Schizosaccharomyces pombe: one gene and its partner. The gene in region 1 interacts genetically with each later gene. Each region holds a gene or a part of one and is shown in the gene's direction. Other genes may lie near its edges.

Region 1 (7,720 bases):
TGCATAAGCATCTTTGAATTCAAACATGTCTAGTATAAAAGAAGCTACCACATTTTAGCATAGCTTTTTTCACAATGATCTCTCAAACAAATACCTACTTGCATACAGCACATTCTTGACCGTTGAAATTAGACGTTGTAAAACGGGGTCTGTCTTCACTTAACAATCACTATTTACGAAAATATTGCTATCCTTCTTTTTCTCTTTTTTTTACATTTTGCTGTATATTGATGCTAAATTAGATAGTTTCGTATCTAGACGATTTAATTCTTTGTAAGTTAAAACCATTATAAATTGTATTTCTTGTTTTATCATGTATGGGGATATTTGACCATTGGTGTGTCACTTGGTAGAAACGGACCTAAATCACACAACTTACCACTACCAAAACCGTAAGAAGCGTAGCGTTAAAATACCCAATTGATATGTCTTCGGCTATATCTCGTTCACGATTTAATTCTTTTATTTTGCATACAGTTGCGACAGCGAATTTGATATGGGCGTTTAACTGGATTAACCACAATAGCGATGTTGCTATTAGAAGGTCCTATGGTTCTCATTTTCAGCATTTGTAAGCGCATACGTCTGGCCTGATACCTTACTTAATATTACTGAATATTAACACTTTATGTAGAACTGTTTTGTCACTGGCCGTTACATTGTTGAGTATGGTAGTAGGATTATTTTCTGATATTTCTGGTTCCTTGACACTTGTAAAGCTAAAAAATATCCTTCTTTATATTGTTTGTCCACTGGAAACTATTGTTTCAATTTTGTATTGGTCTATAGTTTCTTATGATAGGTCTCTTTTAATCCCTAAAGATCGCCCTGTGCCTCTTCCTCTGAATTTTGATATTAGCGTACATTTAATGCCTACCGTTTATACACTTATCGATTACCTTTTTTTCTCACCGCCTTTTAGTTTGTCTATTGGTCCTTCTCTTCTTGTCTATCTGTCAATCGCAGTAAGTTACATGTTGTGGGTTGAGAAATGCTATCAAATGAACAAATTTTACGCTTATCCCATTCTTGCTATTTTGGATCCTATAAAGAAGACAATCTTTTATACTGTTGCGAGCATCATCTCGTTTTCTTGTTACATTGTTTTAAAGATGGTTCATCCGTACGCATTACCTTCTGGTGCACCTCCAAGATCCTAAATTAAGCAACATGGAAAGCAGTTATCGTAGGAAAGGAACAAAACTTCTTTGCTCTCTGAATTTACAAGGTCTTGCATTGACTGTTGTTTTTGATCGCCCCCATCTTTTGATATTCAGAGTGTGGACATCTGATGTCTGCTCCAACAGACGCGAAATTCATTTTCTTGGAATTTGGTCTTTTTTGATTTGAATTATTTAATAGTTTATTGCTCCATGAATGCAATATTGCACGTTTTCAGTTAAAAAGAGGTGTGCAACACTAACACGAACAAGTTGCTTTTCATTTTTATGACAAAATGACTACAGGGACTTTTTTTTCCCCATTTATTATTGATTATGTGCTAATCAATTATTTCATTATCACAACTATGGGTTACAATTAGAAACCTGTTGTAATAACAATAATTGTCTCACTGAAGTAATATAAGCTAATGATTATAAAATTTATCAATTGCATATACATTAAATAATTTAATTCATGGAACCAATTCATCTATGGTGATTATTTATCTGGTTTGCTGGATTGAAATGATTATTTTTAGCATTCTGGAATTTAGATCTTGTAAAACCTGTGTCAAGAATTTTTATTTTAACAAAATTCGTAATCAGTAATATGGAAAAGTCTTCCTACTTTCGAAGTTTGGATTTTTGTATAGCGCCTGACCAGTTACGAATACTTGCAAATTATTCCTTGGTAATTAATTAGTCATAGAACAAAATAGGAAGCCGAAGTAAGATTATAAATTAGATACAGCTTTAAATAGCTAATTATTATACCACTTGTTTACTGTTCTATCGATCAAGTAACTGTTCACGTAAATAGTCGCGTTAGTCCTCTCAACTACTTAGTTACTCCGCCAACTTCTTTTGTCGTCAAAAAAATAGCTAAACATTCCAAAAGCAAAAAGAGATAAGTATAAGATGAGATGGGGCTTTTGGTTTGCTATTGCAACTCTCATTACGATTTGCTATGCCGCCAAGCCTTTAGATGTCAAGATTGCTGCGACTTTTAACGCTCCTTCATTTTCTGCACTTATAGCTGAGTCATTGTATCAAGAGAAGAAGGAGGGATTCATTTGGTATTTAAATCACTTGAGCGATTTACTAGATGCTGAAAATACCACCGAAAAGGAGCTGTACATTAATGTTGTCAATTCACTTAAACGCGAGTATGTTCTTTCTGATGAAGAATTATCTTCCTTGCAGTTTTCTCTGGGATTGTTTTCTGGCGCACCAAAGTTACAAGCATTTTCAAGTATTGTTCAATCGCGCAGCTGTGATTGTGACACTTGGCTACAACTTGACGAAGAATCACAGGTTTGCTTTTCGGATTTGCCAAAGGACTCCCCATTGTTTAGCAAGCTGTACAGCAAAAATCCTCTAGATTACGAAGTTGTAAAAACCTCGGCTACTGGCATTCCGTACGCAGTGGTTGTAACTAGCTTCGAACGAGATCTTATTCCTTTTCACGAACTATATTACAAGCTGGCATTGGAAGGAAAGTGCAATTATGTTATAAGATATTCTCCTCCTTCTTCCTCGAAACTTAACTCCAAACTTTACGTTAAGGGCTTTGGTACCCATGTGTCATTGAAGCGCACAGATTACTTAGTTGTAGATGATCGCGAGTTTCCAAGGGAAAAGGGAGATAACCCAGCAAGTTTTACATCATCCCGCAACAAAAGATCAAATGAGAGACTATTTGGAATGACCTCCGACAGCCTACAAACTGTAACGCCTGATAAAATTGCAATACTTGATTTATTAGCTACACAAAGTATTGCTAGCAGTACTGACATGTTGACTGCTTTTCGAGAGCTTACACAAGATTTTCCTATTTATGCGCATTACCTTTCTATACAACCGGATGTTTCTAATGATTTAATCGAGGAACTGAACCAATTTCAATCGCAATATGTTCCTGAAGGCATTAATACGATTTGGTTGAATGGTTTATCTCTTGATTTAGAGGAAACGGATGCTTTTTCTATTCTCTCTTTAATTAAGAAAGAAAAAGATATGTTTGATAGATTTGAAGCTCTAGGGATTAAATCTTCGAAGGTCTTAGATATAGTCACTAATGAGGCTTTTGCTAACGAGGACTCAGATTTCAAGTTTGTTAAGTTTCATTGTCAAGACGATATAGAGGACTGGAAAGCCATACATTGGGTGAACGAAATAGAAAGCAACCCTAAGTATGACAATTGGCCCAAGAGTATACAAATTTTATTAAAACCTATCTATCCAGGACAGCTTCATATGCTCGGAAAACAACTGCATACTGTCATTTATCCTATTTTTCCTTCTTCTCCTTCATCGTTACCTCTTCTTTCCGAGCTTATTCAGTTTTCACGGCGCCCTTCGCCCGTTCAGACTGGTATGGTATGTGCTGCTAACGATGACGATGAATTTGCTCAAACTGTTTGCAAATCCTTTTTCTACATTTCGAAGGAGAGCGGAACTGACAGCGCTCTCAAATTTTTATATAAATGTTTGAACAGCGATTCTAGTGCTGATTTGTACTCCTTGCTTGAAGAGCATCTTCCATTAAGCGAGCATGATGATGATACTCTAGCTAATCTTAAAAAAGATCTTTCCTCATCTTTTTTTGACCACTATATGTCTAAGAGCAATAGCTGGGTTAATCGTTTAGGAATAGATTCTTCTGCATCAGAGGTCATAGTCAACGGCCGAATTATTTCTCATGATGAAAATTACGATAGGAGTATGTATGGGATATTTTTAGAAGATATCCCTGAAGTTCAAATTGCAGTTGCAGAAGGGAAGATTTCTGAAGATGATAATCTGTTAGATTTTATTTTGCGAGATGCTTCGTTAACGCGGAATCCTTTAGTTTACCCTTCCGCAAAATCTAGTATCAAGAGTATTGATATTAAACGGGTTTTGGAGAACGTTGGTAGTTTGAACCACGAAGATATTTTACTTATCGGCAGTTCTAATGCTAAATATTCATTCTGGCTAGTTGCTGATTTTAATGAAAAGGAAGGGCTTGAAATACTTTCATTACTTGCCGACCTTCTTTCGGAGAATAAAGATGCAAATCTTATGTTGATTCAGGAAGGAAAAAATCATGTTGTACCCCCTCTGTTTGCTAAACTGTTATCATCACCAAAGAGATCTAGTAAGCATTTACAAGAAATATTAAATTCCAGCCTCGATCCCAGTTCTGGCGTCGTTAACGATATGGATAAAGCATTGAAATTTCTAAAAAAATCGAAAGCCGTTGTTAAAGAGTTGGGTCTTACCGGTGAATGTAAATCTGCTTTGTTATTAAACGGACGGATGATTTGTTCTTTCTCAGTTGATAGTTTGAACACCGCTGACTTAAAAATGTTAATGCAAATGGAATACGATAATTATCTGTCAAAACTGTCAAACATTGCTGGAAGCTCAAGAAGGTTAAAAAACAGCCGTGCTATTTCATTCCTTAGCTCATATTTAAAAACGCTTGAATCTACACCCATGAGTACTTCTTCACCTACTAAGGAAGAAAAATTATTTCCTCGTGATTTTATCTACAATAAACTTGGTGTTGGAAATGCTACATTTGAAACTGACGATTTTTCAAAAGCTTATTATCAGTTTGTTGCAGTTTTAGATCCTCTTTCAAAAGATTCTCAAAAATGGTCAGCTATTCTTGAAGCAGTCTCAAAGTTGAACGGCGTAGGAGTTCGAATTCATTTCAATCCTAAACAAACTTTGTCTGAGCTTCCATTAACAAGGTTTTATCGATATTCAATTTCTGCGGAGCCAGAGTTTGATGCGCTTGGCCATTTAGAGGAGTCTTACGTAGAATTTGACAACTTACCGGCTGATACACTGCTTACAATGGACATTGAAGCTAGAGACGCATGGACAGTTATGCAAAAAGATGTGGACATTGATCTTTTCAACATAAAATTAGAGCACACTTCTGAAGCAGAGGCTTTGGACTCACATACAGCAATCTATGAACTTAAAAACATTTTGGTACAAGGTTACTCTCAAGAAGAATTCAGGAAAAGCCCACCGAGGGGTATGCAATTAAAGCTAGGCAACCTTACTAATTCCCATGTGACTGATACAATTGTATTATCAAATTTAGGATATTTTCAATTGAAGGCGAACCCAGGCGTATGGACTTTGGAACCTATGGATGGGCGGTCTTCTCAGTTTTATGAAATACTGTCGCTAAATAAGAAAAATTCCTATAAAGACCCTCAAGTAATTGTTGACAGTTTTGAAGGTGTCACCTTAAATCCGGTTATGCGACGTAAACCTGGTTTTGAGTCTGCCGACATTATGGATGAAGACCTTAGCTCCCATAAATTTTTCGATAAAATAAAAAAGTCTCTCAGCTTCTTTAATTTCAAACGTAAAGAAGCATCTATAAATATTTTTTCTGTTGCCAGCGGACACTTGTATGAAAGATTCTTATACATCATGACTAAGAGTGTAATTGAGCATACGGATAAAAAAGTCAAGTTCTGGTTTATTGAGAACTTTTTGTCCCCTTCTTTTAAAAGCTCTATTCCGGCCATTGCCAAAAAGTATAATTTCGAGTATGAGTATATTACTTACAATTGGCCACACTGGCTGAGAAAACAAGAAGAAAAGCAACGTGAGATATGGGGATACAAAATATTGTTCCTTGATGTTTTATTCCCTTTAGAATTGCATAAGGTTATCTATGTTGATGCCGATCAAATTGTGCGTGCTGACTTGCAGGAATTGATGGATATGGATTTACATGGTGCTCCATATGGGTATACACCCATGTGTGATTCTCGCGAAGAGATGGAAGGTTTTAGATTCTGGAAAAAAGGATACTGGAAAAAATTCTTACGTGGATTAAAATATCACATTAGTGCATTATATGTTGTAGACTTAGATCGTTTCAGGAAGATGGGTGCGGGTGATTTACTTCGCAGACAATACCAACTTTTGTCTGCCGATCCTAACTCCCTGTCTAATTTAGATCAAGATTTGCCAAATCACCTTCAACACCTTATTCCTATATACTCTCTTCCGCAAGATTGGCTTTGGTGTGAGACATGGTGCAGTGATGAAAGTTTGAAAACTGCCAAAACAATCGATTTATGTCAAAATCCTTTAACTAAAGAAAAGAAGCTGGATCGCGCACGTAGGCAAGTCTCTGAATGGACTTCATACGATAATGAGATAGCATCCGTATTGCAAACCGCCTCTAGTCAATCAGATAAAGAGTTTGAAGAAAAGGATAACAACTCATCTCCGGACGAACTTTGAAACATACTTTTCTTTTGCTTTCATATTATTTAATTCGTGATTGTACGCCTGAAATTTTATAATCGTTTTTCTAATTTACTTGCGAATTTGCATAAGTTAGAAGAGAAAAGAGTTAAAATCAAAATGTTTTAATGAATTGCTTGAATACTGAGAGTATTGGCTTTAGGGATTAAAAGGGGTCAAAATTAGTATATGTCGTCCGTTTGAAATGAGCTAGTCATGAGTTAATTTTTTCCTCCAATCTTGTTAGGACCATTTTGCTGGTGCATTCTACAAGTTGTATACAACGATTATGGTGCTAAGAAACAACTAATCGTGAGCAATGCTACGTTTATTGAATGTTTGTTGAAGACGCGTATTTTCATTTATTTAACTATTCGATACTATCTTCTACTTTGTTCAAACATTATTCGTCTATTATGCTGTAATAAATATTGCATTCAAAAGTCTTTACTAAATAGAACATTTAATATATTCGTGTTTATAATCATAGGGAGGAAGTATACAGCACAGTGAGTCGTAAGCTTAGGCATATGCCCTCCACTGAACGTAACCACTACCAAGTACCAGTATCAATATGATTGATGATCAGAGAGGTTTGTTATTGATGGGAAAGTTTTTGTATTTATTAACGTTAAAAAGATATGCAGGTTGATTCTGTAAACCAAGAAGAAAATGTTGATTCTGGTGAAACAAAACAGAACACTGTAACTGAAGTTCCAAGAACAGTTTTGCAAGGTGAGTTAATGCGTCAAAATTTATTTATTTCTAACAAGGATCAGATGTGGAAGCAAATATTGCTGCCTTAATGCAAGCCACCAAACAAAGAGATCCCAGACTTGTCTATCGATCATTAAGAACCACATCCAACATTTGCCATAGACTGAATGCGGATGTTTTAGGCCAGTTAATTAAGAAGTATTATTCTTTTGATAATTCTTTAAAAAATGAATTATTGGAACTTATTGATATGCCACAAAATGGTGATGATTCTTCCACTTCTATTACAAATGGAAATGGCAACACAATTTTTCCGGAAGTGGATATGTACTTACAACTGCTTCTTAGCATGACACTTTATTATAATGAAAAATATGAGGTAGGCGCTGAATATATTAAGAAGGTAATCGCCCGTTTGCAATCCTATGATCGACGAACCTTGGATCAAATTGCAGCCAAGTTATATTTCTATTACATACTATTCTTTGAAAAATGTAATAGGTCTGTAGAATGCAGGAACACTCTTTTGTCCGTTCATCGTACTGCATCTTTACGTCACGACTCTGAAACTC
Region 2 (4,110 bases), 3.4 Mb from region 1:
GCTAAAGGAAATTCTGGCCCATAAACACTATGAGTCTCAGCGTTCCATGTAACAGGAGAGGCGCTTCCGTATGGGCTACCAAGAGAATTAAGGCATACGATAAAGAAATGTGATGGATCAAACGCACGACCAGGACCGAGTAAAGGACCCCACCAATCTCCAGCATCAGCAGAACCACTTAAAGCATGACAAAGAAGAAGACAATTGTTTCCTTCTTTATTCAAAGTACCCCAAGTCTTGAAGGCAACGGGAACATCGTAAAGGATGTCGCCACACTCCAACGTAAATTTGGGAACAATTGCAATTTTTTGATCTGAAATAAGCTGAACAAATTTATTTTCTTGCTGAGACGGATGACAGGAGTCAGTAAAGACAATTGATTCAATCGGAGATTGAGATTCCATTTTTATCAAACGATTGATAGTCAAATTTTGAAAAAATGAAAGAAACTAAATTTTTTGATAGAACTGAGTTCTCAAAGATGTAACTAACAAAACTCAATGGTAGGAGTTTTAAATAACCAAAAAAAAATTTTTTGACAAAAGCAGATTAGTGTAAGGTTTAACACAAAGAATGAATTACTTGCTTTTGTGTTGAGTAAGCAAATACAATTAGCTTCTCTTCTTTTAAGCGTGAAAAACAAAAAATCGAAAAACCAGAAAGTTTTTACGAAAAAAAACCAAAACTAACGGTATTGCGCAGCAATAAAAATTTTAGGTTTTTTAGTACCAGGAACGGTAAGCAACTATATTTGCTAATTTGTTAAATTCCAAAGTTACCCAAAAACACTTGAATACCAAGATTTTTTTTCCTATTCGGTTATGGTGAAAGGAGAAGTGGTAAGTTTATAAACTTTTATCTCAACCTAATTTAACGGTCTGCTTAGTATTTTGTTAGACAACATTAATTGAACGGTAATCAATAACCGAGTTTGGTATACGGGTACTTCATAATATGCTATTCAAACAACGAGACTTTTTTGTTATCTTATATAAATATAACAGTTTTAACCGTAATTTCAGTAAAATCATGTATGAAAAGGATGAATTTATTAAAAAAATTACAAAGGCTAATGTTTTATAAAAAGTCATTTCATGGATCAGGACTCTGCGAGATCAACTTTCGAAGATAAACGAATCGATAAGGAAAAGGTGTAATAATGTTAAATAAACAGGCGCTTGGTCTAAATAATGATTACTTGCTAGTTTCCTTAAATTTACAATTAATTGACTTGAAGCCAATTTTAAACAAGTGTTTTCAACGTTAAGTGTTTTAGTTTATCAATTTACAAATGAAGGAATACTCAAGACATATTTTATGACCCAGCCAAACCTGTAGTTCATCCTATTCAAAAAGGTTAAGGCAATTGAACAACTTGCGCCCTTAATACTAAGTAGCCGTAAGATATATCATACGATGTTCCATGAAAAAATATTTATATCCACGCAGAATTACAGTCATGTAAGTTTTTTAGGAAAGAGTAAAGGCACCTATTCTTTTAATACAATGTCTCCCAAATAGTCAAAATAATTATATAATTATAACAAGTATGCTTGACTTTTGTGATCTATCAGAAGTTGAGCAACAATGAGAGTCTATTGTAATCGATATGTCTATGCTTAATTGCTTGTAAAAGTAGACATTTTAAGTTGTTGACTGCTACTCACCAACTCGTACTAAAAAATTCGTCTGCTATGACTAAACGATTACTGTTGTCCAGTCCAGTCGGCAGTTAGCCAGAGCCAAACACAAATAATCCCACCGCATGCTTTGTAACTGCAAAAGCTCGGATTTCATTAAAAAATAGCTTAGAGTATAAACGGAGTGGAGTAATTTTTTTTTTGAATGAGTTATTTCTTCCAATATCATAAATCTTAACCCTTCTGCTTTTTGCATAGTTACGACATGGTAGTATACATCGTTTTATACACCTGCCTTGCGGGATTTATCCTTTTGTTCTTGGTAAGCAATATTAGCTAGCATGCTTCTCATTCATGTCCACCCGTCGGTAAATAAGGTCGTTGCGGGCAGAACCTGTTTAGTTTATCTGTACTTTCGATTTTTTGATGTGACATTAGACCAAATTTTTCCCCGAATATTCATTAACCCAAATATAGGTTTACTATTATTTAACTCATTCTCATTGCCCGAGGAAGCAACTGGAAGGAGAGGAAACATGTGTATTCATTGAGAACGGTCAAAAAAAAAGTTTGACTCTTGAGAAGTGGAGCACTTCTGATAATATACAAATAACGGTCATTGTTCCCGCGTATAATGAGTCTAAACGAATCGGAAACATGCTCCAAGAGACAGTCGATCACTTGGAAAAATATTATCGTTCCTCTTCTTCAGCAGGACAACGTCGGTGGGAGATCCTTATAGTTGACGACGAGAGTAAGGATACGACGGTGAATGCAGTGCTAGAGTTTTCTAACAAACTGGATTTGCGGGATCATTTACGAGTTTGCTCACTCAAACGGAATCGTGGTAAAGGCGGTGCGGTAACTTGGGGCATGTTGTACGCTAGAGGTCAATATGCAATTTTTGCTGATGCAGATGGTGCTTCTCAATTTTCTGATTTGGAGCTCCTTTTTAAAAATATGCCACCCGGACCAAGGGGTGGTGTCGTTGTTGGCTCGCGTGCTCATATGGTGAACACGGCTGCAGTAGTAAAGCGCTCATTTATTAGGAACTTTTTGATGCACTGTTTTCACAAACTTTTACAAATCTTAGGGATCAGGGAGATTGGCGATACGCAATGTGGCTTCAAGCTTTTTTCTCGTGAGGCATATCAAAGTATTTTCCCTCGTATGCATGTTGAAGGATGGATTTTTGATATTGAAGTATTAACACTTGCTCGTTTTTTCGGTTTACCTATCATTGAAGTTCCCATTACTTGGCATGAAGTTGGCGGTAGTAAAATGACTCTCTTGAAAGACAGTATTTCAATGGCAATCGATTTGTTGGTAATTCGGTTGAACTATACATTTGGTATATGGGAAAGGCCCTCGGCTAAGCGTATTACTTAATTGGACGTATTGTTGTGGATGTTATTGTTCATTATACATTTTTCCTGAGATATAATTAAATTATGAGAGATACATAAGAATTTTTAGGCGGTTCGTTTCCTATTACTCTTTGTTCCTTTTTTATTGATTGTTTTATCTCCAAGCGGAATATTCTATCTTTGAGTAAGCGATTTTCTACTTGCTCGATTTTTTTTCAATGTTGTAAATACTTCTCATTTCCCCATATATGTACTTATGACGTTCTTTTTATGAAAAATTACTTGACTAATAAATTTACTAATTAAATTCTTTTTAATATTCACAGTTCGTGGTAGTAAGGAACATAATAGATGTATTGTTATTATTACGCAGCTGTTAGTTTTCAACCGAGTCTCTAGCCAAAACTCAACTTTTTTGTATATATGCAACCACAAGAACATATTTACCTAGGTTTGGTTTTCAACGTTGTTGCGTGTGTATCCGTCTATATTTATTGTAAAGTCAGCATCAATAAATCTTAGCAAGATGAAACTAAATAATTTTCATAACATGAAGTACGAAACAGAAAAATAGTTCCGTCCATTTAAACTTCAGCATTAGCAATAGTAAATTAAATGGTTTACCTACCCATTATTCAACTTGCCATAGCAAATTTGAATACAGCGCTATTGCGTATAGCTTCTTTAAAAAAATATAGCACTATCTAGCGTGATAAAAATATAATGAGTTATACTGCAAATGAGATTTTTTGATTTTATCAGTGAGACAACGCAGTATAATTATCAGCAGTAATAAAACCGAAATCAAGATAATCAGAGCGATTACAATTTTCTTTTTTCAACTACATATTCCACACGGGAGGAAGAAATTAACGCTCCTTCAAGTGTCAGCTCATTTACCAACTATTAAAAAAATATTTGGAAAAAGACTGGTTCAAAAATAGTTATTAAATACTCCTTTAACTATTATTCCTTTCCTTTTCAATTATTTGCAACTCCCTTGAGCTAACATTCGCAAATTTTTATAGATTCGTTCAATTGTAAAAATTTCATTTGTTTTGGTTTAATAAACTTCTGAATTTGAAAACCGAATTTATTATAGA

The links.
Region 2: mutations in gpt1 (region 1) and alg5 impair growth when combined (synthetic growth defect), as found in Schizosaccharomyces pombe (one study listed by BioGRID).

The regions. Positions count from the first base shown.
Region 1 is NC_003423.3:705,507-713,226, forward strand, and holds gpt1 (UDP-glucose--glycoprotein glucosyltransferase Gpt1), read left to right. Parts: upstream 1-2,007; 5' UTR 2,008-2,081; coding exon 2,082-6,428; 3' UTR 6,429-6,920; downstream 6,921-7,720. Other genes in the region: cop1 (coatomer alpha subunit protein), read left to right, coding at 1-7; SPOM_SPBPJ4664.05 (uncharacterized protein), read left to right, coding at 426-571, 635-1,160; 19S proteasome regulatory subunit Rpn3, read left to right, coding at 7,006-7,024, 7,071-7,166, 7,211-7,720.
Region 2 is NC_003423.3:4,090,423-4,094,532, forward strand, and holds alg5 (dolichyl-phosphate beta-glucosyltransferase Alg5), read left to right. Parts: upstream 1-1,734; 5' UTR 1,735-1,905; coding exon 1,906-1,962; exon of another isoform or gene 1,963-2,117; coding exon 2,118-3,029; 3' UTR 3,030-3,330; downstream 3,331-4,110. Other genes in the region: homoserine O-acetyltransferase Met6, read right to left, coding at 1-404.